Linked DNA regions of Oryctolagus cuniculus. The protein of the gene in region 3 purifies or fractionates together with the protein of the main gene of each other region. This does not show direct contact. Links are inferred from orthologs where the notes say so. Each region holds a gene or a part of one and is shown on either strand. Other genes may lie near its edges.

Region 1 (7,666 bases), on a different chromosome or scaffold from region 3:
AAAGGCAAAACCTGCCCCACCCCCACCATGGCTGCAGCCCTCTGGTTTACCTACTACACAATCTACTGTTCCCTATGAACTTGGCAAAAGGACAATCTGCATGTACTTCTCTTCTGAAAAACAGTCACAACCTCAGAGCAGCCGTGAGCACACCCAGGAGTTTCCTGTGGGTGCCTGCTCCACATTACCACCTGGGTCACGGAGGAACTGGACACCACACTGACACCCTTTCTCTACCAACTGACCCTACGTCGATTCCCAGAAACTATCAAATGAGCTCCAGTCTTAAGCAACTTTCTGAAGTTCTGGCATGTCAGCAAAAAATGACCTTCAGGACAGCATCATTACAGACTACTTAAAAGGTCCGGAATGCTTATGTTACAAATTCAAATATAAAAACACGACAACCATTAAAAACACTATTTTGTGCTCTAAACCCTAAATCCCTCGCAGTTGTTTTCAATATCACCAGAAACCCTGCTGCCTAATCCAGACACAGAAATCTCTTTAATTGAAGGCATGCAGGGAAAATATTTACAAAGTACACTTTTAATATAAATGATTTAAATTATTTCCTCCCAAATATGCAAGAATGCAGGATTTTCCACTTAGCTCCCCAGGAAGCACTCGACTGGCCCCTGGGAGTATTTTCTGTTTCTAGAACAAGAAGAGTGACTGTTAGAGCAAGTCACCTTTCTTTTCCATCAACAGGAAAGCTTCCCAGAACTGCAGGTTCATAAGGCTCCAAGAACAATCGTGGAAGAGGAAACACTTTCACAGAAAACAACAGGTCTTGAGCACCTGAGGCAACCGCAGGAAGATTCCTGAGCATCTCCTACAGGCAAGAAAGTCCCGGGTTGGAAGACTTCCTGGAAATTCAGCCTGTAGCCCAGTAGCCTGAGGCACAGAGAACTCAACGGGTGCCACACCTCTGGATGTCATGGACACAGATGCCTGGCCCATGGCCTTCCTCGGCTGCCCTCTGCTGGCCAAGCACACACTGTGTGCACTTACTGGCCTGAGTCTTTCCTTTGCTCACAGAGCTCCCTAGTCCACAGCTTCTGCCAGTACTTCCCCCATCTTAAGCCACCTCTCAGTATGTAGTCAAAGAGAATGTCGATGGAGGGTGAGCGATTCAAGAGATGGTCCCTAAGGGTTCCAGGGTGGCCTGTCCATGCTGTACTCCCTTTCAAGCTTATGATTAGGAACTGGGAAAGCCCACTCCCCACCCCAAGCCAGCCGCATGAGCAGCCCTGAGGCAGAGGCCTGGCCCGCTGGTGTGTTAAAAATGCCCCAGGAGCTCCCATGTTCAAAGAGAGTTGACTACTGAAAGGTTCAAGTTCAAGTGCAGTGGGCTTGCAGGGTAAGGAGCTACCTGCCACCGGTACATCTAAAGGAGGTACAGGTCATCTGACCCAAGCAGAGCGGGACAGATGGGCAAGAAAAGTCAGTAACTCATCCGTGAGGCCAGACTCAAAGCCACCGCAAGCTGCCCACCTGCCACCTGCCACCTGCCGCTGCTTTGGTTCAGCTTCTGTTTTCACAGAACCAAACAGCACATACAGATGCCCACGGCGGCCATCTCCAGTCTCTTCAAAGATAAACAGTGCAGGACGGAGCGAGTAACAGACAAGGAGAATTTCCTCCTTTCCACAAGGCCCACAAGGCCCACAAGGGAAGTATAAATGAGGAAGACAAAGGTAAACTGACAGGATTGGACAGAGTTCAAGAAGGGGCCAAGAAATATCTGTCTACCTAATACAAACACAAAACCTCAAAAACAGGTTAAAATGACCTGCTGCATCTTGTTTTCATGCCTGCATGGGGGAGTTAGTAACCAGAGGTACATGCAGAATTGCTTGTCATTAAGGAAAGTAAAAAATAAAAATCAGAGGACCTTGGCTGTAACCCTGTGTTGTTAGAATGATGGTCCCCTAATGACTTCTACATGCTCATCTACAGAACCTGTAAATGCTACTGCCTTATATGACACAAGGGACCTTGCAGATGTAAGTTAGGAGTTCTGAGATGGGGAGATTATGATCTTGGATGGTTGGGGAGGCAGAGTGGAAAGGACATGTGCCCACAGAAGCAGAGGTGTGAGTGATGCCACTGCTATAAAGGGGCCCTGAGCCAAGGCCTGCAGACATCCTCGCCTAGAGCTTCCAGAAGCACACGCCCTGCTGACAACTCAACACGAGCCCAGCAAACTCCATTTCAGACTTCTGACTTCAACAACCACCGGATAAGAAATCTGTATTTTTTGAGCCAGTAACATGTTACAGTACAAACAGGAAACTAACACGTCACACTTGTTAAAGGTTCCAGGGATGATCCTGAGTCGCTATTCCAGGTGGACCACTGGACTAGAACCTGCCAAGAGCTTCAGAGAAGAAAACATAAAGAAAAGAACCCCTGTTCACTGGGAGATGCACATCCCATGGGATGCAACAAGCCAACTTCCCGGCGTCTGCCCTGAACGTGTTCTCATGGAACTCCCTGACGTGTATAGAGATGCTCACACAGTTGCAGCCTTACAATCAAAAGGGTCCCCTTGGGGGAGGGGCTAGAGGGTTGGGTCTCTGCCTGTAGTGCAGCATCCTGTATGGGCACCAGCTCCAGTCCCAGCTGTGCCTCCTCTGATCCAGCTCCCTGCTAATGTGCCTGGGAAAGCAGTAGAAGATGGCCCAAGTACTTAGGCCCCTGCACCCACATGAGAGACCAGGAAGAGGCTCCTGGCTTCTAGTTTCAGCCTGGCCCAGACCTAGTTGTTGTGCCCATTTGGGAAGTCATTCAGCGGATGGAAAATCTCGTTTTGTTTTTTTAAAGTTCCTTGGGAGAAGCCTGGTTAAGCTGCAGTGAATCTGCAGAATCAAATACCCTGGAGCCTTTACAGTGAGGACCGAGGCACTGAGGCCATTCTGTGACTAGCGGCTGGGCAGAAAAACCTACAAGGCTTATATGAAAATAGAAAGGTGCAAATAGTATCAATACTGCACTACTATTTGCATAAAAGAATTTTATACACATACACAGAATACATCCTGGAGAATACAGTAAAACCAGGCACTTGTGGGCAAACTGGGTGGCTGAAGATAGAGATGAGAGGGAGACTTCTTTTTTTCACTATGAAGCTTGCACCATACGAGCGGGGAGTAGCCAACAAGCAGAAACAGGAGAGAGCCAAGAAAATGCACAGGGACTTATCAAACATTGAGAAATCTAGCTCCTTTGCTTTCCAATTCAACATCTTGGCCTTTTCCGAAAGATGTGAGTATAAATTTCCGAAGCGTTTATTCTTCAAATACCACGAACAAATGTCAGCCCAGGCTAACTGTGGTAAGGAAGTTAAGGAAGGTAAACACTCTGTCCCCTCTGCCTTAATATCCCACAGTGCGCTGAGGTCTCCTGTGCTACCTTTGTTAGCACGATCCTAGAGATGAATGCAGGGGAAGGAAGTTAAAAATACTGCCTGTGATTCTGGGCCACACTGAAATCATCTGAATTATTGTCTGGAAGCATTCTAGCCTGCTTACCCTCCCCTATTACAATACCTTAAAAAAAAACTATCATGGGATGATGATTCTACATAATCAAGTATAAAACACATGGACTTGATAAAAGCAACTTCAGCAGTGACTATTGGTAATGCCGCGTTATCTTGCAAACAGGTTACTGCCACAGAGAGCTAACAGCTCTGAAGGCGGGGGCTGTGGAAGCAGAGGCTACGTACGCTGAAGCTGGGCTGCTCTCAGTTGCTTCTTGAGCCGTTCCACTTCGTTCTTTAAAAACCTGATGTGACGCATCATGTTTTCTGGAGAATCAATTTCCATGGAGATATCTCTAGGCGACGGGGGTGCAGAGACGGGCTGGTCTAGTTTCTCCTGCAGGATTCTTCATTGAAAAGACAGAGACCGACAATGAGAGACAGTTTGCTTTTAAAAGACAAAGTGACATACTAGGTGGAGGGCTTGTTTTAAAGGCAAGTTCCTGCTCATCATCAAGAGTCCATACGGCTACTTCACTCTCCTGTCCATTTGCCATCAACTTCTGGTCACCCTTTCCTGGTATCTCAGGGCTCAGGGCGGAGCTGTAGGATCTACTCTCTGCTGCAGCTGGAAATGACCACTGGGTATAAGTACTCGTGGTGAAGTCTCTATTTAACATCTGGTTCTGCTTATTAAGCCCGGATACAGGAGGCCCTCAGAAATATCGGCTGACTACATAGTCAACATGCTGGGTGTCAGTTATGGGAATACTAAATACTAAATTCTGCTCTCCTAATATTTTCAGCTGAAATTTTTGAGCTATTATGAATCTCCTTAGAGGGTGAATTAACAAAAATAAACTCAACTTCTAAAATTTCTTCCTGAAGGGGCCGGCGCCATGGCTCAGTTGGTTAATCCTCCACCTGCGGTGCCGGCATCCCATACAGGCACCAGGTTCTAGTCCTGGCTGCTCCTCTTCCAGTCCAGCTCTCTGCTGTGGCCCGGGAGGGCAGCGGAGAATGGCCCAAGTACTTGGGCCCCTGCACCCTGGAGACCAGGAGGAAGCACCTGGCTCCTGGCTTCAGATCAGCGCAGCACCAGCCGTAGAGGCCATTTCGGGGGTGAACCAACAGAAGGAAGACCTTTCTCTACTCTCTATCTATAACTATGCTGGTTAAAAAAAATTAAAAAATTTCTTCCTGCAAAAACCATCACAAGCACATGGCAAAATGGCCTGGGGACCCTTTGCTTCTGTCCACAGTAAAAGTAAAAATCTAAAAACAAAATTAAAACTGGGGTCTGAACATTGTGGTGCAATGGGTTAAGCCACTGCTTAGGATCTTTGCATCTCCTATCAGAGTGCCTGGTTCAAGTCCCAGCTACCCTGCCTCCGACCCAGCTTCCTGCTAATGCTCCTGGGAAGGCAGCAGATGATGGCTCAAGTACCCGAGTCCTTGTCACCTACATGGGAGACTCACATGGAAAGTCAGGCTCTTGTCTGTGGCCTAGCCCAGCCTTGGCTATTGTGAGCATTTGGGGAACCATCATATGGAAGATCAATCTCTCTCTCTCTCTCTCTCTCTGTCTCCCTCCAGCCCCCTCTGAGCTTTCAAATAAAAACAAACAGCAACAACAACAACAAAACAGACCCTGGGGCTGGCATAACGGGTAAAGCCACTACCTGCAGTGCTGGCATCCCATATGGGTGCCAGTTCAAGTTCTGGCTGCTCTACCCATCCAGCTTCCTGCTGATGCGCCTTAGGAAGGCAGTAGAAGACAGCTCAAGCCTTTGGTCCCCTGCACCCTCGTAGGAGACCTGGAAGAAGCTTCTGGCTTCAGATTGGCCCAGCTCTGGCTGTTGCAGCCATCTGGGGAATAAACCAGCAAATGGAAGATTTCTAACTCTGCCTTTCAAATAAATTAACTAAAAAAAAAAAAAAAAAAAGGAAAAAAAAGAAAAACACCACAAACTGACCCAAAATTATTTGACTAATAACAGGTGATACCACCTTCTCCAATCATTGTTAGGCTGAAGCATGTAACTTGCTGATATTCAATAGCTTTTTTAATCTGAAAGACAAAGACAGGCAGAAACAGATCTCCTCTACTACAACCAGGGTTGTCTAGGAGGAAGCCAAGAAGCTAAAACTCAATTTGGGTCTCTCATGTGGGTAGCAGGGACCCAAACAGTTGAGTCCTCACCTGCTCCCTCCTAGGGTGGAGCCTGGACTCAAACCAGGCACTCTTATATGGGATGCAGGTGTCCCAAGTGGGATCTGAAGCAGTGTGCCAAATGCCCAACCCTGTTTTCCCCAGGAGCTTCTGACCCGTGAAGTGACAACCTAACTGTCACTGAGCCCCGATTTCATTCTATAAGGAGTTTCTGGTTTTCTTTTATTAATTTTTTAAAGTTTATTTTTCTGTATTTGAGAGAGTGAGAGAGAGATCTTTTACCTGCTGGTTCACCCCCCAGATGCAAAGACCACAATAACCAAGACTGGGCCAGTCTGAGGCCAGGAGCCAGGAGCCAGAGCCCGGAGCCAGTCTTACACGTGGGTGGCAGGGACACAGGTACTTCAGCCATCATCTCTTACCTCTGATGGTGCACATTAGCCAGAAGCTGGAGTGGAAGTAGAGCTGGAACTAGAACCTAGGCACTCCAATACAGGATGCAGGGGGCCCAAGCAGCGGCTTGACCACTACACCACAATGCCTGCCCTGTGCTTTTATTTTTAGATTTTTAGCTTTGAGTTTACCCAAATACACACTGCAAATTATCTCTTCCCTTACTGAGAAAACTAATGCGTCAAATATTTTAATTGTCTCTACGTTTTTATAAATTAAAATAACTTCACTACAATTTTATTTTATAAAATAAAATAACTTCACTACAATATAAAATATAGCTGATTCAATTATAGCTTAATTATTTCCTGGAGATATACTTCTGATTTTCACTTTGTTTAAAGCTATGTGATATAATCTGTGATTTTCAAATTTAGAGATGTACTCCAAATAATTTATAAATGTGCATCCAAACCAAATACGTAAGGCAGAGTCCAGGAAGTAAACAAAAAGACCTGGGTGAAGTGGACTCAGGAACACTCCCAAGAAACGCACTCTTCACACCCATACACTCACCCCACAACCAGAGCATTCCTTCCAGCCTTACAGGCTCTGTCCTACCCCCCCCCCCACCTCCAAAGTATACAGTGCTGGAAAAAAGGGCAAGGCACTGCACTGCACCAGGGGTGCAAGACATGCAACTGCCGGGTGACATTTCACATCCGAATAATCGTCACCTTAAATATGTGCAGGTATCTCATTACCGATTATAACACAAATAGGTAGCATTTTTTTCCATTAGAAGCTCAGCTTTCCGAATGAGGTAAATTCTAGAGTTGTGCTAACAACCAACAGTACATCGTCCATCCTATGTACTTCAGGAAGCAACAGAGGGCTCAGCGTTGTGGCACCGCAGGTTACCCTGCTGCTTCTGACACCAGCATCCCACACTGAGTGCCAGTCTGAGCCCTTGGATGGTCCACTCCCAATCCAACTTCCTGCTAACGCATCTGGGAAGACAGCAGATGATGGCCCCAATACTTGGGTCTCTGCCATTCACAAGGAGACCCAGATGGAGTTCACGGCTCCTGACCTTGGCCTGGCTGATCCCTTGCTGCTGCAGCCATTTGGGGAATAAACCAGCAGACAGAAGATATCACATCCTCTGTCTCTCAAATAAATAAACCTTTTTAAACACAGTGGAGAAAGGCATTTCAATAATGTGGAAAGCTGAAAACGCAACTATCCTACGTACAATTTACAAGAGCAGTAGGACTATCCCAATGCAGCCCTGGAATGCCTGAGAAAAACGCATTCTACAGGGACAGTAAGGGAGCAAAGAATAAAGGGAAGACGAACATGAGAACATTTCAAGGTTCAACATGTGCTTCCTTGGCAAATCAAAATGCTGTGTTTCACCCACGGGACTCGGGTGTCCCATGGTCATTCCTCCGTCACACCCAGAACAGCTCTTAGACACACACGGAACAGAAGACTACACAAACCGCTTCTCTGCTTCAAGTTTATCCATCCTTTTCCAGAGACGATTCACTAGTGCTTCCTGTTCTTGTTCCAAGGTATTTTCAAGGTCAATCTTCTCCCGTCTCAACTAA
Region 2 (6,947 bases), about 33 Mb from region 3:
GGGTCATGTTGAGCCGTAGCTTTATTTGGGCATATATGAGTATGCACACTTTAGATATTCCTTTCAGTCCCTTATTTGGTCTTTAATAATGAAAACCATTCTCAAATTATCTCACAGATGCTGTTAAGACTTAACCATTGCCCCCTAGTGGGAAACTCTTTTAACGTAGCATGTAGCTACTCAAATACTACTAAGAAGCATACATGTTGAGTAGAACATTAAAAAACTAAAGCAGAAACAAATACTAGTTTTTCTCCTTAAGCCCGTTCATGTTCATAAAATCCTTCCTTTTGGAAGGAAACTGAGCTTTGTAGTGTCTTGTGTTTGACAGACACTGTGCTATGGAGTTGATTTTCTAGATTACTAATCTTAACCCTTGAAGTCTTTTAATTCTCTCAAGGTAGTAGGTTAGTCTAATATCATTATTCAGTAACATGTCAAGACAAAACTCAATTACAAAAGATGTTTAGCATTTGAGACTACCCCAACACTTCTTAGATCCACCAAAGTAATTTGTTACAAAATACTGCCAACACACTAAAATAGGAACTGTTTTGTTTTAAGGAATATCTCTACCCAGAACTCACATTTAAGGTTTAACAGACTCCTAATTTTAAAGGAAAAGTACATGGATAGCTTTTTTTAATTCCAAGAGACTGAGGGCTCCATAATCTTCTTTCCCGTAATTACTAGTATATAAAAGTGTTTATAAGATTTGCTTTTTAACTATTACTATTGCCCAGCCACTAAGTAAAGATCATAGAGATTAACAGAATGAGACTTCTCTTTCCTATCATAATCTTTTAAAAAGGTTAAGAAAGGACAGAAAATGTTTATTAGTGACAAGAGAACAGGAAATACAAGCAACTTGACAAGACTAAGTTCATTCTAAGTATAATTTTTATTAATAAAAAGATTAACCATGACCATATAAAATGAGTGGCTGGGCTCGTAGTTTGCTACACCAAAGAAATTTGAAAATGAATACTTAATGTTACAATTTATAATAGCATACCTTATAGAAGCATTTCACTCAAATATATAAAACTATCCCTTAGTGTAATGGGTGAGAATTATCTTAGCTACTGATCAATCAAAAATAAATTTCCAAGAGCTATTCAGTTATGTTATATCAAGCATACAACCCAAGTGTAGGGAAACCACGACCAAAACAGATGTTCTGGAGAGTTGCTCCATCAGAAAACACAGTATCACTACTTGATACTTCTGGCAGGGGAATATTCCACTTACAAGTTAGTATGAAGAATAAATAGCACAAACTATGAATATACCAATGATCCCAAAATAAATTAGAAAAAGTGCTGTTAAAAATTATCAGACATATAATAATCAGTGTTTAAATACAAATTCAGACTTGCTAAGTCCCAGAGACAGTAATTTTATTACATAAAATTTCTACTGCGTGCTAAAAATGTTAACTTACAAGACATAATATTTATATAAGTGTAGAGGGAATTATGATGAAATATTTAATCAAATTTGCATCTGAACAATAGGTAGTGGACATATAAGAAGCATTCAGTCCTCTAAAATTCAAGGTTGTTATATTATTGCTCAACCAAAATATACTACCATTCTCTAATAATATAAATGCCTGCTCAATGCATCTTTTAAAAATAAAGTCCATTTTTTCTCCATTAAAGCTCTTCAAGACTGACAAAGGTATATTCCACCTATTAAAAATAGGGACACTCTTCATCTTTGGATAAGGTATCACCACTTAGGGAAAATGTAGTCATACACAGATTACCAAATTTTATTTATAGGGCCAGCTGTGGGGAGTCCAGTAAGCAGTTTTTTTTAACACTGTACCTTTAAAATTTTGTCTTTAATACAGCTTTGGAAAATCAAAAATAGAAGGAAAATATCTATGGTAAAGTACATTTCATTCTGCTTTGATAGTAATAAAATACAAAAAAAGTAGTGCAGTGTCAATTTGTATTAGATCATTTGATGTTAATGTTATGCTGTAAGACTGAATGACAAAAAAGTTTTTGTTAAAAACATTTTAGTCTTTGACTTAGTATTTAGTAAGGCAAAAAAATCAAAGCACTGTAAAAAGTCATTTTAAAATGAAGTTCTACAAATTTGGATCCCATTTACAACAATTTAACAGATGAGTTAAGTGTTGATACAATGTATCCAATACCCTCATAACTACAGTAAAAAGTCTCTAGTAGCATTTATAGATTATGAAAACCTTAATAATACCAACATATATTTAAAACATGTTCATACAGAACCAATACCCCTCCTTTTCCATGTAAAAGAACACTTGATAAAAATAATTAACAAAAATACTAATAAAATAATGGAAACCCATTTCATTTCACGGTGTCCAAAAGGGTATGTCACAAAATACTGGCTTAAAGAGGTAGATTAAAAAGAAAAAGAAAACCAGATTCTCCATTCTTTGTCACTTTTATTCAGTAGTAGTTTTTTTTTTCCTTATTTTCAGTGCCAGACATGGCAAGGAGTGATTACAGCCAACTGTTATTAAAACATTTGTTCGCAACATACACCCCCTTTACCACTAAACCCCAAACTGACTCATTTTGTGTGCTTTCGTTCTTTTTTTAATATACCACCACCAAGTCGGGTGGAGGGGGCAAAGGTAAAAGAGATGAGGGGGAAGAGTCCAGGAGGCCAGAGAGGAGGAATGCTACAAGCCACAGTAAGAATGAGCTGTATTTAATTTAAAAAAGGGGGAGGGAGGGGTGTACCCCACAATGATACAGTAATGAGGATACACAATTAAATCCCATAGCATGACTGAAGGCTTTCACTGTGTTTGACATCATCACAATGGAAGGCATAAAAAGTGGAGTAAATCAATGTTGATACAGTCCAATCTAGTCCATTAGGCAAGATGGTGCAAGAAGTCATTTAAATTAAAAGTGCCCTACCCTTACCTAAATGGCTAGCAGACATGGAGAACACCACAGTGATGAATCCACAGAGCTTTCTCCATGTAGCTATATAAAAATGTGTTGTCAAATGGCACACTGTCAAACACTGGAAAGGGGCACCACAATGGACCTCTCTCTTTTATAGGTACGAATGCTAGATTTCAACTATCTCAACTAAGCAGGAAGTGGGCTCCTCTGCTAGGAATGCCAACACTAATTCACTTTGTCTTGAAATATATACAGATTGTTTGTGGTAGCTACAGCAATGATATTTTCCTTGGGGTGCCAGGCTGTATGAAGGATTTTCTTGTTGAAGTCTAGGCTGTCAACGCTTATTTCATCTTTCTTTCGCTTGCCACTCGCACAGACTTTCCGTGGCTTCAACACTGTGCGAGGCTTATTGTTTTCCCGTGATGCTTCTAGGGTTATGTCTCGTTTTGTGTTCCTGTCAAACATTCTGAAGAAATTATTATAAGATCCAGTCATGACAACACTGTAAAAATAGACAGAACATTCAGTCAAACAAAGGAACAAGAGATTGTTTTTAGCAGAACAATTAAACCTAGCGTGATACTACACAGAAAACAGCTACTTAAAGCAGATTTTAACAGACAAGACTGCTGACACCAACTCAATGACTGGAATACACCTGAGATATTTTACTTTTTTTTTTTTTTTATCAATTACTCCTTTAGACGACTACCAAAACTATCAAGAGAAAATTGAACAGTACCCTCAAATAAAATGTCTTAGAAGTGAATTGTCATGATTGCATTTTCTGCAGCTGTAGGCAACATCTATGCAATTCTAAAACCAAACTGCATGAAACAGCTGTTAAGAAACCAATGCTGGGGCTAGTGCTCTGGCAAAGCAGGTAAAACTGCCACACAGAGTACCAGCATCCCATTTGGGTGCTACTTCGAGTCCCGGCTGCTCCACTTCTGTTCCCTGCTCATGAGCCTGGGAAGGCAGCGGAAGATGACCCAAGTCCTTGGGCCCTTGCACACACGTGGGAGACCGGGATGAAGCTCCTGGCTTCAGATTGGCCCAGCCCTGGCCACTGTGGCCAATTGGGGAGTGAACCAACAAAGTTCTCTCTTCCTGTCTCTGCCTCTCCCTCTTTGTGGCTCAGACTTTCAAATGAATAAAGGAAGGAAGGGAGAAACTAATTCTTTCTAATTTAAACTATAAGCTATTTAATTTGTCCCAAGGCCTGGTTCAGATAATCACATTTTATGAATGCTTATAATAAAATCTATTCCTGAGACTATTAAGAAAGTAGCATGTAATATTTTTTAACAGAAAATAATTTGTACCACTAAGAACATTTTAAGTAAGTATTTTTATAAGTGTGAGTTGAAAAGGGTGCCAAATTCCTAGCCTGCCCAAGACACTTTCTTGTCAGTCTTATTTGCTCAATATTTACAAAACAGCCTCATCAACCAAATTTGACAAAAATAAAATCATTAATAACTCAGGAAGGGCCTGACTGGTACTACTACCATTTACTATCTCCTTTCCACATGGCTCAAATCACTATTGTACTATGTATATTATGTACACAAGTTATCTATTAAAAACAAATGATTTTCATCTACTCAACAGACAATTTTTAACCAAACTCAAATTGGTACACGTCCCTACATACAATAAACTCTTATTTTCTTAAAAATGATTCACTATGTAAATCTGTAAGGTTTTGATTAGGATGCCTAGTCTATCGCTGAAACATTTTTTTTTTAAGAAAATATTTATTTATTTAAAAGGCAGAGTTATAGACAGTGAGAGGGAGAGACAGAGGTTCTTTCATCCGCTGGTTTCCTCCCCAAATGGCTGCAACAGTCAGAGTTGGGCCAATCTGATGCCAATAGTCAGAGCCTCCTCCAGGTCTCCCACGAGAGGGCAGGGGCTCAAGCACCCGGGCCGCGTCCTCCATCACTTTCCCAGGCTGTTAGCAGGCAGCTGGATCAGAAGAGGAGCAACCGAACCAATGTATGGCTGAAACTTTTAAAAGTTAAATGTTTCAAGTTTTAATATCCTCTAGAACACATAACATCATGAAACCAGGATGAATCTACTGTATAAAGTAAGCATCTCTACTTTAAATGTAGTTTTAAAAGAACTCCAAAATGCTGCTTTCTTTTACTATTTTTTATCGGAACATAGTAAGTGGTACATGTTGACATTTAAAAGACTGAAAGAAAGACTTATTACTACTTCCATAAGGTGTCAATATCTAGAAAAACCGAGGACCAGTGCTGTGGTGCAGTAGTTTAATCCTCTGCCTGCAGCTGGTACCGATCTAGTCCTGGGTGCTCCTCTTCCAATCCAGCTCTCTGCTAAGGCCTGGGAAAGCAGTAGAAGATGGCCCAGGGACCAGTGTTGTGACATAGTGGGTAAAGCTGTCACCTGCAGCGCTGACATCCCTCATGGATGCCAGTTTGAGTCCCAGCTGCTCCACTTCTGATCCAGCTCTCTGCTATGGCCTGGGAAAACAGTGGAAAGTGGTCCAAGTCCTTGGGCCACTGCACCCATGTGGGAGACCCAGAGGAAGCTCCTGGCTGCGGACTGGTGCAGCTCCGGCCAATGTGGCCATCTGGAGAGTGAACCAGTGGATGGAGGATTTCTTTCTCTCTCTGCCTGTAACTCTTTCAAATAAATTAATAAATCTTAAAAAAGAAAAAGAGAGAGAGAGAGAGAGAGAGAGAGAGAGATGGCCCAAGCACTTGGGCTCCTGAACCTGTAACTATACCTCTTAAATAAGTAAAAAAAATATTAAAAAAAAAATCTACAAAAACTGGTGCATAGTAACACAAGTGAAATATATCTGCTGCCCAAATATTTTAAGAATAGTTCAACAATAGGATAGTAACTGAACCAAAATTTCACCATTTAAATTGTTGGTATGTCGGCCGGCGCCGCGGCTCACTAGGCTAATCCTCCGCCTAGCGGCGCCGGCACACCGGGTTCTAGTCCCGGTCGGGGCGCCGGATTCTGTCCCGGTTGCCCCTCTTCCAGGCCAGCTCTCTGCTGTGGCCAGGGAGTGCAGTGGAGGATGGCCCAGGTGCTTGGGCCCTGCACCCCATGGGGAGACCAGGAAAAGCACCTGGCTCCTGGCTCCTGCCATCGGATCAGCGCGGTGTGCCGGCCGCAGCGCGCTGGTCGCGAAGGCCATTGGAGGGTGAACCAACGGCAAAAGGAAGACCTTTCTCTCTGTCTCTCTCTCTCTCACTATCCACTCTGCCTGTCAAAAAAAAATAAATAAATAAAAATAAAAAATAAATTGTTGGTATGTCAATGTGATTTATCTGGTCCTTAAAACATTCTTAAAAATCTATAAATTCTACATATTCTCCTATCTGCTAGTGAAAGAATGCTTCACTTTTATGGACCAGTATTGCTATACTAAACTAAGATTATTAAATTTATTTCAAGGAATCTCGAAGGAAAAAATGAAGTTAGGACTTTTAATTTATGTCAACCTAAAAAAAAGTCAGCCGGGAGTAGGTGTTGCAGCAAAGTAGATTAAACCACTGCTTGAGATGGCCATATCCCACACTGAAGTGTGAGGTCAAGTTTAGACTCCTTCACTTCCAATTCAGCTCCTCACAAACAAGCCTGGGAAGGAGACAGAAGATGGTCCAAGTGCTTGGGTCCCGGACATCCATGTGGGGGACTGGGACGGAGCTGTAGGCTCCTGGTTTCAGCCTAGCCCTTTCCTAGCTGTTGTGGTCACTGGGAAGTAAAAAAGTGAATGAAAAATCTTTCCCTCTCTGCTTTTCAAATAAATAAGTCTCAAAGAAAAAGCCCTATTTTTTGTGACTGGCAACCATACCAGGAAGAATGCAATAATAAACCCCTTTTCTCTAAGTTTAAATTAAAAGCAATTACCTGTCAGATCCATTCCAACAACATTCAAATTTGTCAAATATGCAGTCATTTTCATACAGTGAACAAAGCTTACTTCTGAGGTACTCATGCACCTGAGGAAAAACACAGATATGTAACATATATACC
Region 3 (8,313 bases):
CTTTGTATTACAATGAAAAGTATATATGACAAATAAAACTTAAATAAAAAGAAACTTTAAAATATACACATCTTTAGTTTATCGACCTATGTGCATGATTTTACACATCACACATGGTCCAGAAATGAGGTGATTTAACAAAGTCTGTTTCCTAGTCATTAGCAATACTTAATGTCAGTCTAGTCTGGATTAGTATCTTAACCTGTCTGCTAAAGCAGTTGGCTTAGATAGCATGAAATCATTTTGTTCAGTCAGTAGAACTGGGTCTCAACCTTGTATTCCACTGCAATCATGGCATTCTTTGTTATAGAAAGAAAGGAGCTGTTTTCTACATCACTGCATTTCAGACTTTGTCAATGGACCACCAAGGCTGGCATTAATCTTTGTTAGAGGGAAAATTAAAAATGAAAGTACTGATTAGGCTTTTTCAAGATCATTATTGTTCTTAAGCTGAACCTATCACAAAGAATAACCTAAAAGATTTTTCTCGACTAACAAAACCAGTTCATTTTTACCAGTTCATTTTTCATTAAGATGGTTTTGGGCATTCAGGAATTTAAGTATACCATTTCACATTAAGAACGAAGTAACATGCTGAAGGTATTTTCACTTATTTCAAGGCCAGAACCCAGAAACATATCCATCAGTCCATATTCATCTCCTGCACAAGCCTCAATGTTTTCCTCAGCAGCTTTTATAATTAGATCTGCCAGCACACAAACTAGCTCATTTTCCCTGCCCACCTAGAGAATCATAATCAGGGTTCTTCAGTCATAGCATTTACCAGGACAAAGAGCCTAAGACTTTTTACTCTTTTATTTTTAAACTTTTACTCTTCTGGACACAACAGTTAGATACAGTTCTCATCACAGAATGTCCTTAACAGCACCAGATCAGTTGTAAAATTCCTGTGCATACTGCTGTGACAACAATGAATCACACACCCAATTTCTCTGCAGACATTAGGGATGTCAAATTCACGATCAGCTTCCAAAGCTGGCTTACTAATTAGGTGTTACTAGCTAGTCTTCTCAGAAGATATGCCTTACTATTTTATGCAGTGTTTTACTACACAGGAAGTAACCTCAGATGCAGACACACCACACTATCCCACTATTTTTTGTGGTCATTTGCCCACTGGCACTACAATGGATTTTCTTTCTTCCACTACCCCACAATAGGCCTTTACTAGTACTCCTTTGGTCTTGAGGTCAGCTGACTCCTTGTTTTAAGGCAATCTGATTTAGAAAAGGAAATTAATCCTAACTGAAAAACCATCACCATAGAGTGTAACTTCCTATATAGTATTTCCAATAGAATAAAAAAGTAATAAAAAGTTAAACTAAAATCTAGTTGCAAGGAATTAAAGATGACACTCATCTCAGAATTTTGTGCTTCAGATAACGAGGACACTAATTTTCAGGGTCCTATAGCCACTGTACATACATTCCCCTTTGATTCACCACAGAAGTGGTATCTATTTATTTTGCACTTATTTCCTAAAGAAAATGATAAGGCATTTAACACAAGATCCACATTTTTAGCTTTCCCTCATTTAACACTCACTGACTTTTACTTTTTGTCAGGACGTCACATGGGGTACTTATTTAAAAAAAAATTATTTATTTGAAAGGCAGAGTGAGTGAGTGAGAGAGAGAGAGAGAGATGGCTCCCATCCACTAGTTCACTCTCTGAATGGCTGCAACCATCAAGGATGGGCCAAGCCCAAGCCAGAAGCCCTGTGGAACCAGTGCTGATATGGATGCCAGCTTCACAAGAGGCAGCTTAAACCCTCTATGTCTCAATGTCGGCCCCACACACGGGCACCATCTTAATATAATCAGTTCAAGAGATCAGTGAATATGATCCCTGCCTGGCAGGTAAGAAGTCAAAGGTGCCAGATGGGCAGCTAGCAAGTGGAGCACAATTTGAATCCAGACGGGTGGAACGCTACACCTGTTATTAACAACAAGCATGAGGTAGGGATATAAAACCAGAACTAAGGACTACAGGTAGACCCTAGGTTAGTACCTAGTTGGTACTCTATATCCATAGAGATATATCCTCAGATTCAACCAACCAGAAATTATGATATGGGGGAAAAACTGCCTCTGTACTGAACACAGACATTCTATTTCTTATTCTCTAAAAACACAGTATAAAAACCATTTACATAATATTTTCATATCAGGTGTTACAACTTAGAGATGATTAAAAATATACAAGAGGGACCAGCGCCGTGGCTCACTTGGCTAATCCTCCACCTGCGGCACCAGCATCCAATATGGGCGCCGGGTTCTAGTCCCGGTTGTTCCTCTTCCAGTCCAGCTCTCTGCTGTGGCCCGGGAGGGCAGTGGAGGATGGCCCAAGTGCTTGGGCGCCTGCACCCGCGTGGGAGACCAGGAAGAAGCTCCTGGCTCCTGGCTTTGGATCGGCGCAGTGCCGGCCGTAGCAGCCATTTAGGGAGTGAACCAACGGAAGGAAGACCTTTCTCTCTCTAACTCTGTCAAAAAAAAAAAAAATATATATATATATATATATATACACAAGAGGAGGTATGTACATTACATGCAAACACTGCACATTTTATAAAAGGGACTTGAGCATGGGGACTTTTGGTATTCTTATAGGACCTGGACCAATCCAGCACAGATACGGAGGCACCACATATGCCACAAAAGTAAGCCATAGTTGCCAGAACAAGGCGGCTACACTGAGAGCTGCTGAACTACTGGCACTCTGCTCCACTGGCAACTCTATCAAAGTGCACAGAGCACAAACACAAATGCAAGGCGATCTTCACTTGAGCTTCACATTTTGTGGATAACTACAATCAAAGATAGAACAGGTCAACGCGTAAGTAAACTATAGCTGTAAGATCCTAGGTAGTTCAACTTATTTAGGAGGTGAAGTAAAAATAATCTCTCGATAAATACACAGTTTCCTGGCATGATTTAAGATTTGAGTGCAATTATCAATGTACTGGTAAAATAGTCTCCTCTAGGAAATTAAAATTATTAGAAAGTCAAAAAGAAAAACTGATTCAACTACCACTTTAGTCATAACTTCAAGTCTGTATCTGACGTTCACAGGGAGGTTAACCAATTCAGCTAATTACTCAAACTTGATGCTGGAGCTTGAGAGTTTAGTAAAGCGTAAATTGTAAGACCCATGAAATCACAGGTTTTCACACACACACACACACACACACACAAATGTGGAATGAAGGTACAAGCAAGCAGTTTGCTTCAGGAAGAGAAATATACCATTTCTGTGGCACTTCTATCTGCAGAAATAAATTCAAATTCACTTTTATCTGCAGAAATAATAACATGTAGTTATTCAATATGTAAGCTCCCTGGGCACTTGTTAAAAACAGTGGCTACCCCTCCATCCTTTAGTTGCATAATTTAAAAAGTGCCCTACTGGGGCCTGTGCTGTGATGTAACGGGTGACATCTTTACTTGATGACTGAGGCTGGTTGAGTCCTGGCTGCTCCACTTCTGATCCAGCTCCTTGCTAATATGCACCAGCGTGGGAAACCTGGAGGCGGCTCCTGGCTCGGGCAGGGCCCCCACCATTTGGCGAGTGAACCAGCAGATGAGAGATCTCTCTCTTCCTCTCTGTAACTTTGCCTTTCAAATAAATAAATCTGTCTTTTTTTTAAAAGTGCCCTACTAATAAGGCTTAAAAAATTACTTCCTCAGTGCTTTTCTGAGGTATGCGGGCTTTCAAACACATTTAAGAAAATAACCTAAAATAACCTCCTTACTCCAGTACCTCGTGGACTTCCAAGGGGACTTTCCAACATACGAATACATGAAAACTAATTAGTCCACAGCGCAAATGATGAATGAAGAACAACTGGAGGCTCTCAAGTACACCACCTGCACAGGTGAGAATTCCACGGGTTCACAAAACAATGGCTTCCGAATTCAGAAAGCTAAGACCAGACACCTGACAACAATGCACTGCCTGCAGGGTTTACCCCCGTTTGGGGACTGGAAACAACTTTCTGAAAAGTGCCACCCTGCATGACAACTCACAGGACGGGACTTTAAGAAATTTTTTTTTTTTGGTGTAAAAAACCGATTTTTAAATCCACGAGCAGTCTTTAATCCTTATAGGCATTTTCCACGAACTGTCCCCGAGCTCCGGCCTCGCGGCGCGGGTGCCGCCAATCCACGCGCGCCGTGCGGGGCGCCATCTGCGCGCACCTCTATTTTAAAAAAGCCACCGTCTGCCATCACGCCCACCGCTCCGGCGCGCGGGAGCAAGTTGGCCGACCCCGACGACGCGGGGTCGGGTCCCTCTCGGGCCGTCACGCCCGTTCCCGGCGGACACCCGAGTCGGCAGCGCGGGGGCGCGGGCACTGCCCCGAGCCGACTGCGGCGTCGGGGGCCGGCGCGGAGCCGCGGCCAGGCCGGGCAGGGGAGCCGCCGCCGCCGCCCAGCGCCCCGCGTTCCTCCCCGGCCGGCCCTCACCTTCTCGCACAGCGTCCGCACTTGGTTCTCGTTGAGCTGCTTACACTCGTTCAGCTGCTCGACCCACTGGTCCAGCTCCTTGGTGAACGTCTTGTCGTCCATGGCGGCCCGCTCCCCTCCCCCACCCGCCCCCGCCCCCGCCCCCGCCCCGGGCGCCGCTCCCCTCACCCGCCGCCGCCGCCGCCGCCAAGCCCCGAGCGGGACAGGAAGGAGCTGGGGAGGGTGGCCGCGGGCCCCGCACCCGGCTCAAGTCCAGCGGGCGGCTCCCCGAGGGCACCCCGCGTCCGTCCCCGCCCAGGGAGTCTGTGGGGGAAGCGGAAGGGTCGGGGTCGGGGGGGGGGTGGGGGAGCGCGGCGAGGACGCTCTGGACGCAGCTCCCGCCGGGCGATGGCCGCCCGCGACCGCTGCCGCCGCCCGCCGCCCTCTCCCGGCTCCGTAGCCCCTACCCTCTCGCCCTTTCTCTCCCCTCCCTGAGGGTTTCCGTCATCGCCCGGGCATTTCCGCCGGGAAGAGGCGAGCGGGCGGCGCCGCCGGGGCACGGCCGGCGAGGAGCGGAGCAGCGCCCTCGCGTGGCTCGGCGGAGAAACGGCCCTGGGGACCCGGGGTCGGGGGCGCCTGTCCGGTCCTCTTGCTTTCTCTGGTCTTTTCCTCCCAGCCTGGTCTTGGCTCCCCTGATTTCTTCCCCAACATCTTGTCCTAGGGCAACTTCGTGTTCACCTTAAGCTCCCGCAGTGCGTTTCCGCCGCTCTGGACAAGGAATTTTATTCTCCCCAGCGTCAGGCACTCTTCCGAAGCAGGCATTCAATTATTTACAGAATAAATTTCTTCTAGCCGGGTGTCTCGAACGCTCGCTTGCAATATCGGGAAGATGAAATGATTGTTTTGTGCGATCGTCTGGGTCGTTTCCAGCTCCAGCAGTGTTTACCGAGGTGTAATGATTTGGTCAACACGCTCTTGGTGCCGGCTGCCGGCTGCTGGCCAGGCACCTTGTCCGGCACATGCTAACCACCCACACTTCTTCCCTTAGAGATTCGCAGTGCTGGGCGGAACCCCAGAGGGAGGCGGCATCCTGGGTGAGAGGGCAAGTGTTCCTGACCTGGCAGTCGCCACACCTCCTCAAGCATCAGCTTCCCTTCTCAGGCTCTGAGAGTCAGAGGTTGAAAGTGCCTGTCCCGTGGTACACCATGGGAGCCATGTGTCTGTTGTTTTTACTGTCCTGGGGAACACTTTCAAAGAGCTTTAGAATGGGAGCATTTTGAACTGAATTATTAAAAAGCATTTATTTATTTTGAAAAAGTTGGAAAGGTAGAGAGAGATCTTCCACCCACTGGTTCACTCCTAGCTGGCCACAATAGCTGGCACTAGGCCAGGCTGAAGCCAGGAGCCAGGCACTACATCTGGGTCTCCCACATGGGTGGAAGGGGCCCAAGCGCTTGGGCCATCTGCTGCTGCTTTCCCCAGGTTCATGAGCAGGAAGCTGGATTGGAAGTGGAGCAGCCGGGACACCAACTGGCTCCCTGATGGAATGCTAGCATTGTAGGCAACAGCTTTAACCCGCTACACCACAATGCCTGCTCTGAATGTTAAGAGAGAACCCATCTGTTGGTTTTCTCCCCAAATGCCCTCAAACGGCCAGAGCTGGGCCACATAACAAGCCATAAGACAGGAACTCAATCTGGGTCTCCCACATGGGTGTCAGGGGCCCAAGTACTTGAGCCATCACTTGCTGCCTCCTAGTGTGCATTACTAGGAGGTTGGTACTGAACACAGGCACTCTGATATGGGCTGTAGCATACCAAGGTGGGGGGCTTAATTGCTATACCAAATGCCCACTCCCAACCTGAATTTTGAAACTTATCCTCCTCCAATCCCCCCCCCCCCCTCCGCAAAACCCTGAAGCTGCCTGGAGAACAGGAAAGAAGTTTTAAGGAATCTGTGTGTGTGTGTGTACCAGAGGACAGATGTACCCAAGACCACTGTCTGTCTGCAAAGCTGTAAATACTCCCAGCAACACAAATAGGTCACATGGTGGGAAATGAGGCTGGAAGGGTTCTTGCTTTCAAGCAACTTGTAAAAGGTAGCAAACCAATGGAGCGATGAGCAGATGCTGGAAAGGTGGGGTACCTGGACAATCGTAGTAGACATTGCTCGCTCTCCGGAGGCTGAAGTTCACCTAAACCTGAAAAGCAGACTGAGAATATTTCTGGAATTCCTACAGTAGATGGGCTGAGAACAGAAAATGTACCCTGAAGAGAAATGGAAACTATAGATGGTGGTTAGAGAGGAAGATGGGTGAAATAGAAGCAAGTGTGTTTGGAATTAATCTGCGACAATGTTCTTGGAGTTGGGGGGGTGCTTAGGTGAACTTGTGAAAATAATACTTCCAGAATGTTTAATCAAATAGTGCTGAAGAATAAATCAGGATGCTTTTTTGGAGCATTTTTCTTTTTTTAAGATTATTTATTTATTTGAAAGGCAGAGTCCCAGAGAGGCAGAAGCAGAGAGAGAGAGAGAGAGAGAGAGAGAGAGAGAAGAGAGAGAGAGAGAGAGAGAGAGTGATCTTCCATCCATTGGTTTACTCCTTAGATGGCCACAACAGCCAGAGCTGCACATATCTGAAGCCAGGAGTCAGGAACTTCCTCTGGGTCTCCCACGAGGGTGCAGGGGCCCAAGCACTTGGGAAATTTTCGACTGCTTTCCCAGGCCACAGCAGAGAGCTGGATCAGAAGTGGAGCAGCCGGGACTCGAACCAGCACCCACATGGGATGCCGGCACTGCAGGCGGTGGCTTTACTTGCTATGCCACAGCGTTGGCCCCTGGAGCACTTTCTATATACTGTGTATTTAATATGTATGTTCTCATTTAAATACTCCAATAAGCCTGTGAGGCAGGTGTTGCTATCCTGCATTTGATAGATAAGAGAACCAACATGCAAAGGTATGAAAACGTGTTCAAGTCACACAAACAGTACTGGTGGAGTAGACTTGACACCGTGTCTGTCAGTCTGACATCCACGTCCATGCTTAAAAATGGCCTCTTTAGTATGGGCGGGAGCAAGAAAAGCCAAGGGTGGCAGAGTGACAAAGGCTTGATCTTTGCCACATCAGTTTTCACTCTTTCCTTTGTGAAGTCATCATAATTAAAACCAGAAGCTAGAGGAATGGGCACTGTGGCTCAGTGGGCTAAGGCACTGTGTGGAACACCCTGCATTCTATATTTGAGTGCTGGTTCGAGTCTCAGCCACTCCAATTCTGATCCAGCATCCTGGGAGGTATGAGACCTGGGTGTAGTTCCTGGTTCCCGGCTAGGACTAGGGCCAGCCCTTGCTAATTGCAGGCATTTGGGGAATGAGCCAGTGATGGAAGATACTTTCTCTCTCTCTCTCTCTCTCTCTCTCTCTCTCTCTCTATCTCTCTCTCTCTCTCTCTGTCACTCTGCCTTTCACGCAGATGAAAATCAGTCAATAAAAATGGAAACTAGAATTCTTTGTTTTCTTTGTTCTTTGTTTTTACATATGTACGCACATATTAGGGTGTATTTTTAAAATCTTTTTAAAGATGTATTTATTTATTTGAAAGGCAGAATTATAGAGAGGCAGAGGCAGAGAGAGAGAGAGAGGTCTTCCATCTGCTGGTTCACTCCCCAGATAGCTGCAAGGGGCCAAAGCTAGGCTGATCCAAAGCCAGGAGCCAGGAGCTTCTTCCCGGTCTCCCATATGGGTGCAGGGGCCCAAGGACTTGGACCATCTTCCCAGGCCAGAGCAGAGAGCTGTATTGAAAGTGGAGCAGCCAGGATTTGAACCAGCGCCCATATGGGATGCTGGCACTGC
Region 4 (7,120 bases), on a different chromosome or scaffold from region 3:
AGGGGAATGAGTTGAGGAGTGAACCTAGTCCACCATCTCAATGCTGCTTTCGTGTTGTCTACACAGCATTATGAATGTAATAATTCTCAGGAGACAATAAAACTCATCTAAAACAAAAGTCAAATACTAGTACTAATAATGAAAGACACCCGAGTAAATAGTGGTTCTTCAGTATAAAATGGGAGTGTTAGATAAATAGAAATATAGTACCTAAGCACTGTGATGTGAATAATTCTATGGTATATTCTTCACACGGGGTAAACTGCCTGCATTGAGGATTTCCTACTAGGACAAAATTGAAAAATGTTGACTCATATTTAATAGAGGAAAAGCCACATTTTTTTAAAGCATTTAACCATGCACACGTGAGTGTGCACATACACAGCCCAAGCCCCTCAGCATTCTCTGAACAATGTGACCACTGCATTGCCCTGGGGGAGAACAGCTGACTTAGATTTTTCAAGTATGTTTCCTGGGGACTAACAATAGGTTCTCTCAAATTAAGAGTAAAGACACCAGGCACAAAGTGCCAACTCTTAGCACCAGAGAGACTTAAACCTTCACAGGATGTTACAAAGAAGAGAATCTGCCCATTAAGTTCTAAGCAGTTGCATTCCTTCTGTCAAGTGGGAAAAAAACCCAGGTTTATGCCAAATAGATTTAAAAAGTTAAATACTTTTAAAAATCCTCATAAGTGTATTTCACAATCCTATATAAAATAAAGTTCCTGTCTTACAATAAAATGCTTGAAGTTCTAGAGATGTGGAAAACAAAAATGAACTGAAAACAGAGCTTATAGAAAATGAAGGTCCCAGGATGAAAATCAGAAGTAGTTTCCTGCAGAAAGGAATGGTGAAATTCACTGTGTATTCTCACCAATACACCTAAAACTGTTTTGTGGACAGCCAATATTAACTGGTACTCTAAACTGTCACGTGGGAAGTTTAAATCAAGTCTGAGGCAAGATACTGAATGGACAATACTCCAATGGAAAGACAGCAACTTCCTTCCTTGATAAGACAATTTCCAGCCATCATTCAGAAGTTCAGTTATTTGATGGCTTGGGAAGCAGTGTCCACTGAATTCTCCTTTCTGACCTGAAGTGACTCGCTGCTGATAGACAATAATTCTCGTAGTTCCTTGTTTTCAAGCTGAAAAAAAAAAAGAGAACAGATACATGTTTATTTCCAGGATTTGTACTGCCAAATTGCATCAGGACAGATTGGTTTGGGCCAGGAAAAGAAAACTTATTTTCATTTTAAGGTTATAAGGAAATTCAAAACACACACACACACACACACACACACACGCTGAGACTTTCCTAAAAGACTACTTATTAATTTAACATTTACTGAGTACTAAAACTGCAAAGAAGAAAAAACACAAAGTCCCTTGAGGAATTTACCATTTGCCATACCCTTCATGGTTCCCACGCGTTTTAACTACTGTTTCTTCAATTTTCAATTTCTAATAATCTTTTCACTCTCTCCTTCCAGCTCTCCCACAGTTTTAGAAAATGAGAGGAGAAAGGTGGCAGGGAACTAGTGCTTGAGCATGCAGGGAGGTACCTGCCAGGTTCATTATGTATGCCATCTTACAGCACTCTGTAAGGGAGGTCTCTTTGCTGACATCCGTATTCTACTCAAGATAAAGATGCTGTAGTTCGTAAAACTCCAAAAACTTGTCCAAATCCAGGTCACCTGGATGTGGTATTGCTGACATCTGTGTCCAATGACCATTTTTTTTTTCTTTCTTAAAATAGTAAGTAAAACTGGTCCCACATTTCCTTAGGACTGTATCCATAACTGAGGTAAACCAGGAATAGTGCAGACAAGGGTGATTTGTTATTTAGCTAGCCACGAAGTCCTTCTTAGGACTTGCCACTCCCTTTGATTCCCAAACAGAGCTTACACTCTTCATCTTCACTCTCTCTACAGGACACTGAGACACCGCACTTCTTCAGCCTCGCCAAGGGGTCAGAGCCCACGGGCAACACACCTTCCACCATTCCAAGTGCTTCCCCGGGACTTCCATCCCTCTCCCAGCACTTGCTCTCATTTCATATCACTTCACTTCTAGTCTTATTCTTCCTGCTGGGTGCTGGGCAGAGAACTCTTTTTCTCTCTGGCAGTTCTTTTTCTTTTCCTTCCTTCTGTTTTTCTTTTTTAATTTAAATATTTATTTATTTATCAATCATTTGGTTCATTCCCCAAATGGCCACAGCAGCCAGAACTGGGTTGGGCTGAAGCCAGGAGCCTTTTCCAGGTCTCCCTCATGGGAGCAGGTGCACAAGTACGTGGGCCACCTTTCGCAGCTTTATCAGGTGCATTAGAAGGGAGCTGCAGGAGAAGTGGAGCAGCCGAGACTTGAACCAGTACCCAAAAGAGATAGCCAGTGTCATAGGCAGTGACTTAACCCACTGCACCACTGTGCCAGTCCAGCTCTCTGGTTTTTCTCAAAAGCCCATTATAACAACTTATAATAAGTAGGACACAAACCACCTACCAAAATGTTTTTCCTTAATATTTTTATGGGAGGCCGGCGCCGCGGCTCACTAGGCTAATCCTCCACCTTGCGGCGACGGCACACCAGGTTCTAGTCCCGGTCGAGGCGCCGGATTCTGTCCCGGTTGCCCCTCTTCCAGGCCAGCTCTCTGCCGTGGCCAGGGAGTGCAGTGGAGGATGGCCCAAGTCCTTGGGCCCTGCACCCCATGGGAGACCAGGAGAAGCGCCTGGCTGCTGCCATCGGATCAGTGTGGTGCGCCTGCTGCGGCGGCCATTGGAGGGTGAACCAATGGCAAAGCAAGACCTTTCTCTCTGTCTCTCTCTCTCACTGTCCACTCTGCCTGTCAAAAAAACAATTTTTTTTATGGGGTACACTAATAATCCAGGCCTTTTTTGTATATTTCTATTTTAATAAAAATATTACACAAAAATAGCTTTTAAAAAATCAAGACTTTGGGGCCGGCATGGTGTTGCAGCGGGTTAAGCCTCCGCCTGCAGTGCTGGCATCTCATATAGGTGCTGGTTTAAGTTCTGGCTGTTCCACTTCCAATCCAGTTCCTTGCTAATGACCTGGGAAAACAAGTGGAACATGGCCCAAGTCCTTGGAGACCCACAAGAAGCTCTTGACTTTGGCTTGGCCCAGCCCCAGCCACTGTGGCCATTTGGGGAGTGAACCAGCAGATGGGAGACTTCTCTCTCTCTCTCTCTCCCCCTCTCTAACTCTGCCCCCTTTTTTGTAAATCAAGAATGTGAGGCTGATAAAATAAATAGCAGTTCCTTGGCTTTGTTCCTTAAAAGCAGTACCACTTTATGTCTTTTCTTCCTTAATTCTAAATAATCTGCCTACACTTGTATTTCCTAGTCATCAACTTTAGGTATTACTCATATGACTTCCTCCTGTGGCAGATGGGGAATACTGGCTCATATAACCTATTCCTTTCACTTTCTCTACTCTCATAGTATCTCAACCTCTAGGCAATTCTTGGTTGGTAGTTTCACAGAATGCTGTTTATTACAACACTGCCTTTTTTTTTTTTTTTTTTTTTGGACAGGCAGAGTGGACAGTGAGAGAGAGAGAGAGAGAGAAAGGTCTTCCTTTGCCGTTGGTTCACCCTCCAATGGCTGCTGCGGCCAGCACACGGTGCTGATCCGAAGCCAGGAGCCAGGTGCTTCTCCTGGTCTCCATGCAGGTGCAGGGCCCAAGAAGTTGGGCCATCCTCCTCTACACTCCCAGGCCACAGCAGAGAGCTGGCCTGGAAGAGGGACAACCGGGACAGAATCCGGTGCCCTGACCGGGACTAGAACCCGGTGTGCCGGCGCCGCAGGCAGAGGATTAGCCTATTGAGCCATAGCGCCAGCCAACACTGTCTTTCTTAAAACGATATGAAGAGTTTTAAGTCGTAAGAAAACAGAAAATATCAATATATTACAGTGATAAGGTAGTGATGGCATATATTCCAGACTATGAAAACTGTGAAATATCATGAACTAAAAATGGCAGCAATCTTACCTCTAATTGGGCTAGCTTTTCCTGAATCTTACAGAACTGGTCATCATCTACCTGAACTGCTTTCCTCATCACTTCTCCCATTTCACAGATTCTGTCAATCTGACTCTCAATTTCCTGTAGAGAAATTAAGAGGGGGGAAAAAAGTCATTCTACAGATATGAAGTGCATGAGAACACATTATTATGATTTTTAAAAGTTCATTTTTTCTATATTATACAAGTTACAATGTAGTTACACTATAATCTGAGTCATGGAAAGTAAAGTCATAATAGAGTGAGCTTATGGCATTCACAAAAAATTTTTTTATTTTAAAGAATTTTTAAAAGGAAATTTGTTTACTTTAGAGGTAAAGAGAGAGAGGGAGTACACTTCTCGCTGATTTGCTGGTTCATTCCCCAGTATCTGCAACAGCTTGGACTGGATTGGGTTGAAGCTGGGAGCTAGGAATGCCATCCAGGTATACAAAGTGGGTGGCAAAATCCCAATTACTTGAGCCATCACCACTGCCTCCCCCGGTCTGCATTAGCAGGAAGCTGGAATCAGGAACTGGAGGCAGGCACACAGACCCCAAATACTCCATGGGACAAGGATATCTTAACTGCCAGGCTAAACGCCTGCCCCATGAATCCAAAAGTCTAAGAACAACTAAATGTTGGACGATATCATCAGGTGGCCATTTTTCAATTAAATTTGAAGACTTTTACTGGCAAGAAGCTTACCACAGACCAAGGTGTCTTTATCCGGTCATATTGCTTAGAAAGTATTTCTGAATGAGCTAAACTTTGTCTCCCTGAAGGTTCATATTTTTCCTTCTGAACCACAGTAAATAACATTTATTTTTATTTTTCATATGAAAGGAATCGAGTATTTAAAATATCCCTTTGGTGGGAATCCAAGTACAGCAGTTAAGATGCTGTATGGGATGCCTGCATCCCATTTCGGAGTGCCTGGTTTCAAGTCCTAGCTCTTCGGCCTCTGGTCCAGCTTCCTGCTAATGTGCATCCTGGGGGCAGCAGAGGAACAGCTCAGGTAGTTGGGTCTCTTTCACCCACATGCACATGGGAGATCCAGACTGAGTTCCAGGTTTCTGGCTTCAGCTTGGCCCAGGTCTGCTATTGTGGGCATTAAATTAGTGGATGTGAGACCTTCTGTCTCTGCCTTTCAAATAAAATGAAAATAAATCAATAAAATGCATCCAAAAGGATCTGAGATGAACTGTATCTTCCACTGCAGCAATTAGTGAGGCTCCAATCTATTGTCCAGGATTCAGTAATAGTACATGTGATTGTATAATGACAACTATGAAGCACTCAATGAACACAACACCAATTACTGGCCTCTCAACTTACATCATTCCCAGCCAAGTGTAGAACTGGGCCAGGTTTTTGTTTTTTAAACCATACTTGTCTTGTCTAGTAACACAATATAATGCTACTTTGTTCATTTTGATAAAGATTTACTGACTGTTTGTTATGTGCCAGGTACTACGTTAGGAATTAAATGAATTCATATTCCTTACAATTAGGGAATTTATAGTTTGGTATGTGCAAGTAATACTCAACCAACCATGAAGATACCTCAAAAAGTTCATGTAAACTAGAATTAAGCAGTTAGTTTCTTTTGGTGCAGTTTTGAAATTCATTCAGTTTTTTAAATAATATGTACTCTCCATGAACTTCAATGATCAGAGCTGCACTGATCCAAAGCCAGAAGCCAGGAAATTCTTCTGGGTCTCCCATGTGGGTGCAGGGGCTCAAGCACTTGGGCCATCCTCTACTGCTCAGGGAGCTGAATTGGAAGTGGAGTAGCCGGCACCCAAACCAGTACCCATATGGGATGCTGCACTGCAGGCGGCCGCTTTACCCACTCTGCCACTGTGGGCACCACCTTCAGCACTACCTGAAATTGCTGGAAAAGCTAAGCATTCATTAACATCTTAAAAACAGATCTTAGCGAAGGATGGAGGGACGTTAGCCCCACTCAAATTAAAGGATCTCAGGAGCCACTCATGCCCTTCTATTCACAGCTTTACAAAGCCACAGCAAATAAACACTGAATGTAATAAACCTGCCTTTTATTTTTTAAAAAAATGGACATGATCTAAAACAATCTCAAGATTTTCATTCAGTTCATTTAGAATTTAGCATCCAAGTTTCTTACTGCAGAGTGAGACTGGTGAGCTTTCAGGACCGGTTCAGCATCCACTGCCTTTTTAGCGACCATTAACTGTAGCATCTGTTTCCGGTACTTGCTCATGATGAGTTCCAAAGCATCCTGGTGTTCTTCCAGGGAAACCCAGAGCTCTACCAAACAGATACAAAACAAAATAACTGAACAGTGAAGGCTGTGAGACAGATCCCAAAGGCTAACTATTGATAGGTGGAATTCGATGACACTCCATGATACTGTGAACCCAAAGTTGTAGCAAACTGAACAGCTAAAGTCTACATGAAAAATAACTTTCTAGGTAGAGGCAGCAGTTTGGCAGAAACAACATGGGGGTGTGTAATCAGAAAAACACCGGCTTGAGTTCAGTTCTGTGCCTTACTTGCTTACCACTCATAAGTAACTCATTTAACTTCTCTGAGCCTGTTTCTTAAAGGCACTGTATAAATACCTGGCTTGCCTACCTCAAAATGAAGACAGGAGACTACAGGGTAATAACATATACGAAAGCCCCCTGTAAAGCGCTGTACAACTAGTACTATTAACGTCGTTAATAATGCACTCATCAACCTAAGAATGCAAATATATATTCTGAGGATAGAATTCCACTCTTCCATCATGTGTAAGAACATATACAAAACCTTCGAACTTAACATCAGGGTTCATTACGTTAATATCTAAACATTCAACTTTAAGCCCTTAAGGATATACAGTGTCGTCATGCAAGCCTCCATCTGGGGGTACCTAAAAAAGCCATGCAATAATTCAATTCAAGCAAGCGTCTCTTTGATAAGCTGCTTATAAAAACAAACCTTGGAACGGGTAATCTAACAAGCTTCTTACTGGGCCAGCACACGGTAACTTTCCTAGTAAAAGTACTGACCTGAAAATACATTTAGGGTAGTTTCGCCACTCCCAGACGTGAAACAATCCTAACCAC

The links. Proteins that work in one complex are often made in the same cells at the same time.
Region 1: the proteins of PPP2CB (region 3) and CCDC6 purify together in Homo sapiens (affinity purification with mass spectrometry; 3 studies listed by BioGRID and IntAct, counting the BioPlex papers as one, with this or other methods). This does not show direct contact. The link is inferred for Oryctolagus cuniculus from reciprocal best matches to the Homo sapiens genes PPP2CB and CCDC6.
Region 2: the proteins of PPP2CB (region 3) and PPP2R2A purify together in Homo sapiens (affinity purification with mass spectrometry; 8 studies listed by BioGRID and IntAct, counting the BioPlex papers as one, with this or other methods). This does not show direct contact. The link is inferred for Oryctolagus cuniculus from reciprocal best matches to the Homo sapiens genes PPP2CB and PPP2R2A.
Region 4: the proteins of PPP2CB (region 3) and SIKE1 purify together in Homo sapiens (affinity purification with mass spectrometry; 3 studies listed by BioGRID and IntAct, counting the BioPlex papers as one, with this or other methods). This does not show direct contact. The link is inferred for Oryctolagus cuniculus from reciprocal best matches to the Homo sapiens genes PPP2CB and SIKE1.

Annotation. Positions count from the first base shown.
Region 1 is NC_091446.1:52,194,513-52,202,178, forward strand, and holds part of CCDC6 (coiled-coil domain-containing protein 6), read right to left. Parts: exon of another isoform or gene 7,663-7,666; coding exon 7,559-7,662; exon of another isoform or gene 4,194-7,558; intron 3,895-4,193; coding exon 3,734-3,894; intron 1-3,733.
Region 2 is NC_091433.1:47,868,715-47,875,661, forward strand, and holds the end of PPP2R2A (serine/threonine-protein phosphatase 2A 55 kDa regulatory subunit B alpha isoform), read right to left. Parts: intron 6,914-6,947; coding exon 6,822-6,913; intron 3,424-6,821; coding exon 3,144-3,423; 3' UTR 2,789-3,143; downstream 1-2,788. UniProt on the Homo sapiens protein: Substrate-recognition subunit of protein phosphatase 2A (PP2A) that plays a key role in cell cycle by controlling mitosis entry and exit. Involved in chromosome clustering during late mitosis by mediating dephosphorylation of MKI67.
Region 3 is NC_091433.1:80,850,221-80,858,533, forward strand, and holds the start of PPP2CB (serine/threonine-protein phosphatase 2A catalytic subunit beta isoform), read right to left. Parts: upstream 4,590-8,313; 5' UTR 4,587-4,589; coding exon 4,485-4,586; intron 3,827-4,484; exon of another isoform or gene 3,812-3,826; coding exon of another isoform or gene 3,773-3,811; intron 1-3,772.
Region 4 is NC_091438.1:55,564,920-55,572,039, reverse strand, and holds part of SIKE1 (suppressor of IKBKE 1), read right to left. Parts: intron 6,318-7,120; coding exon 6,175-6,317; intron 4,129-6,174; coding exon 4,015-4,128; intron 1,152-4,014; coding exon 1,050-1,151; 3' UTR 1-1,049.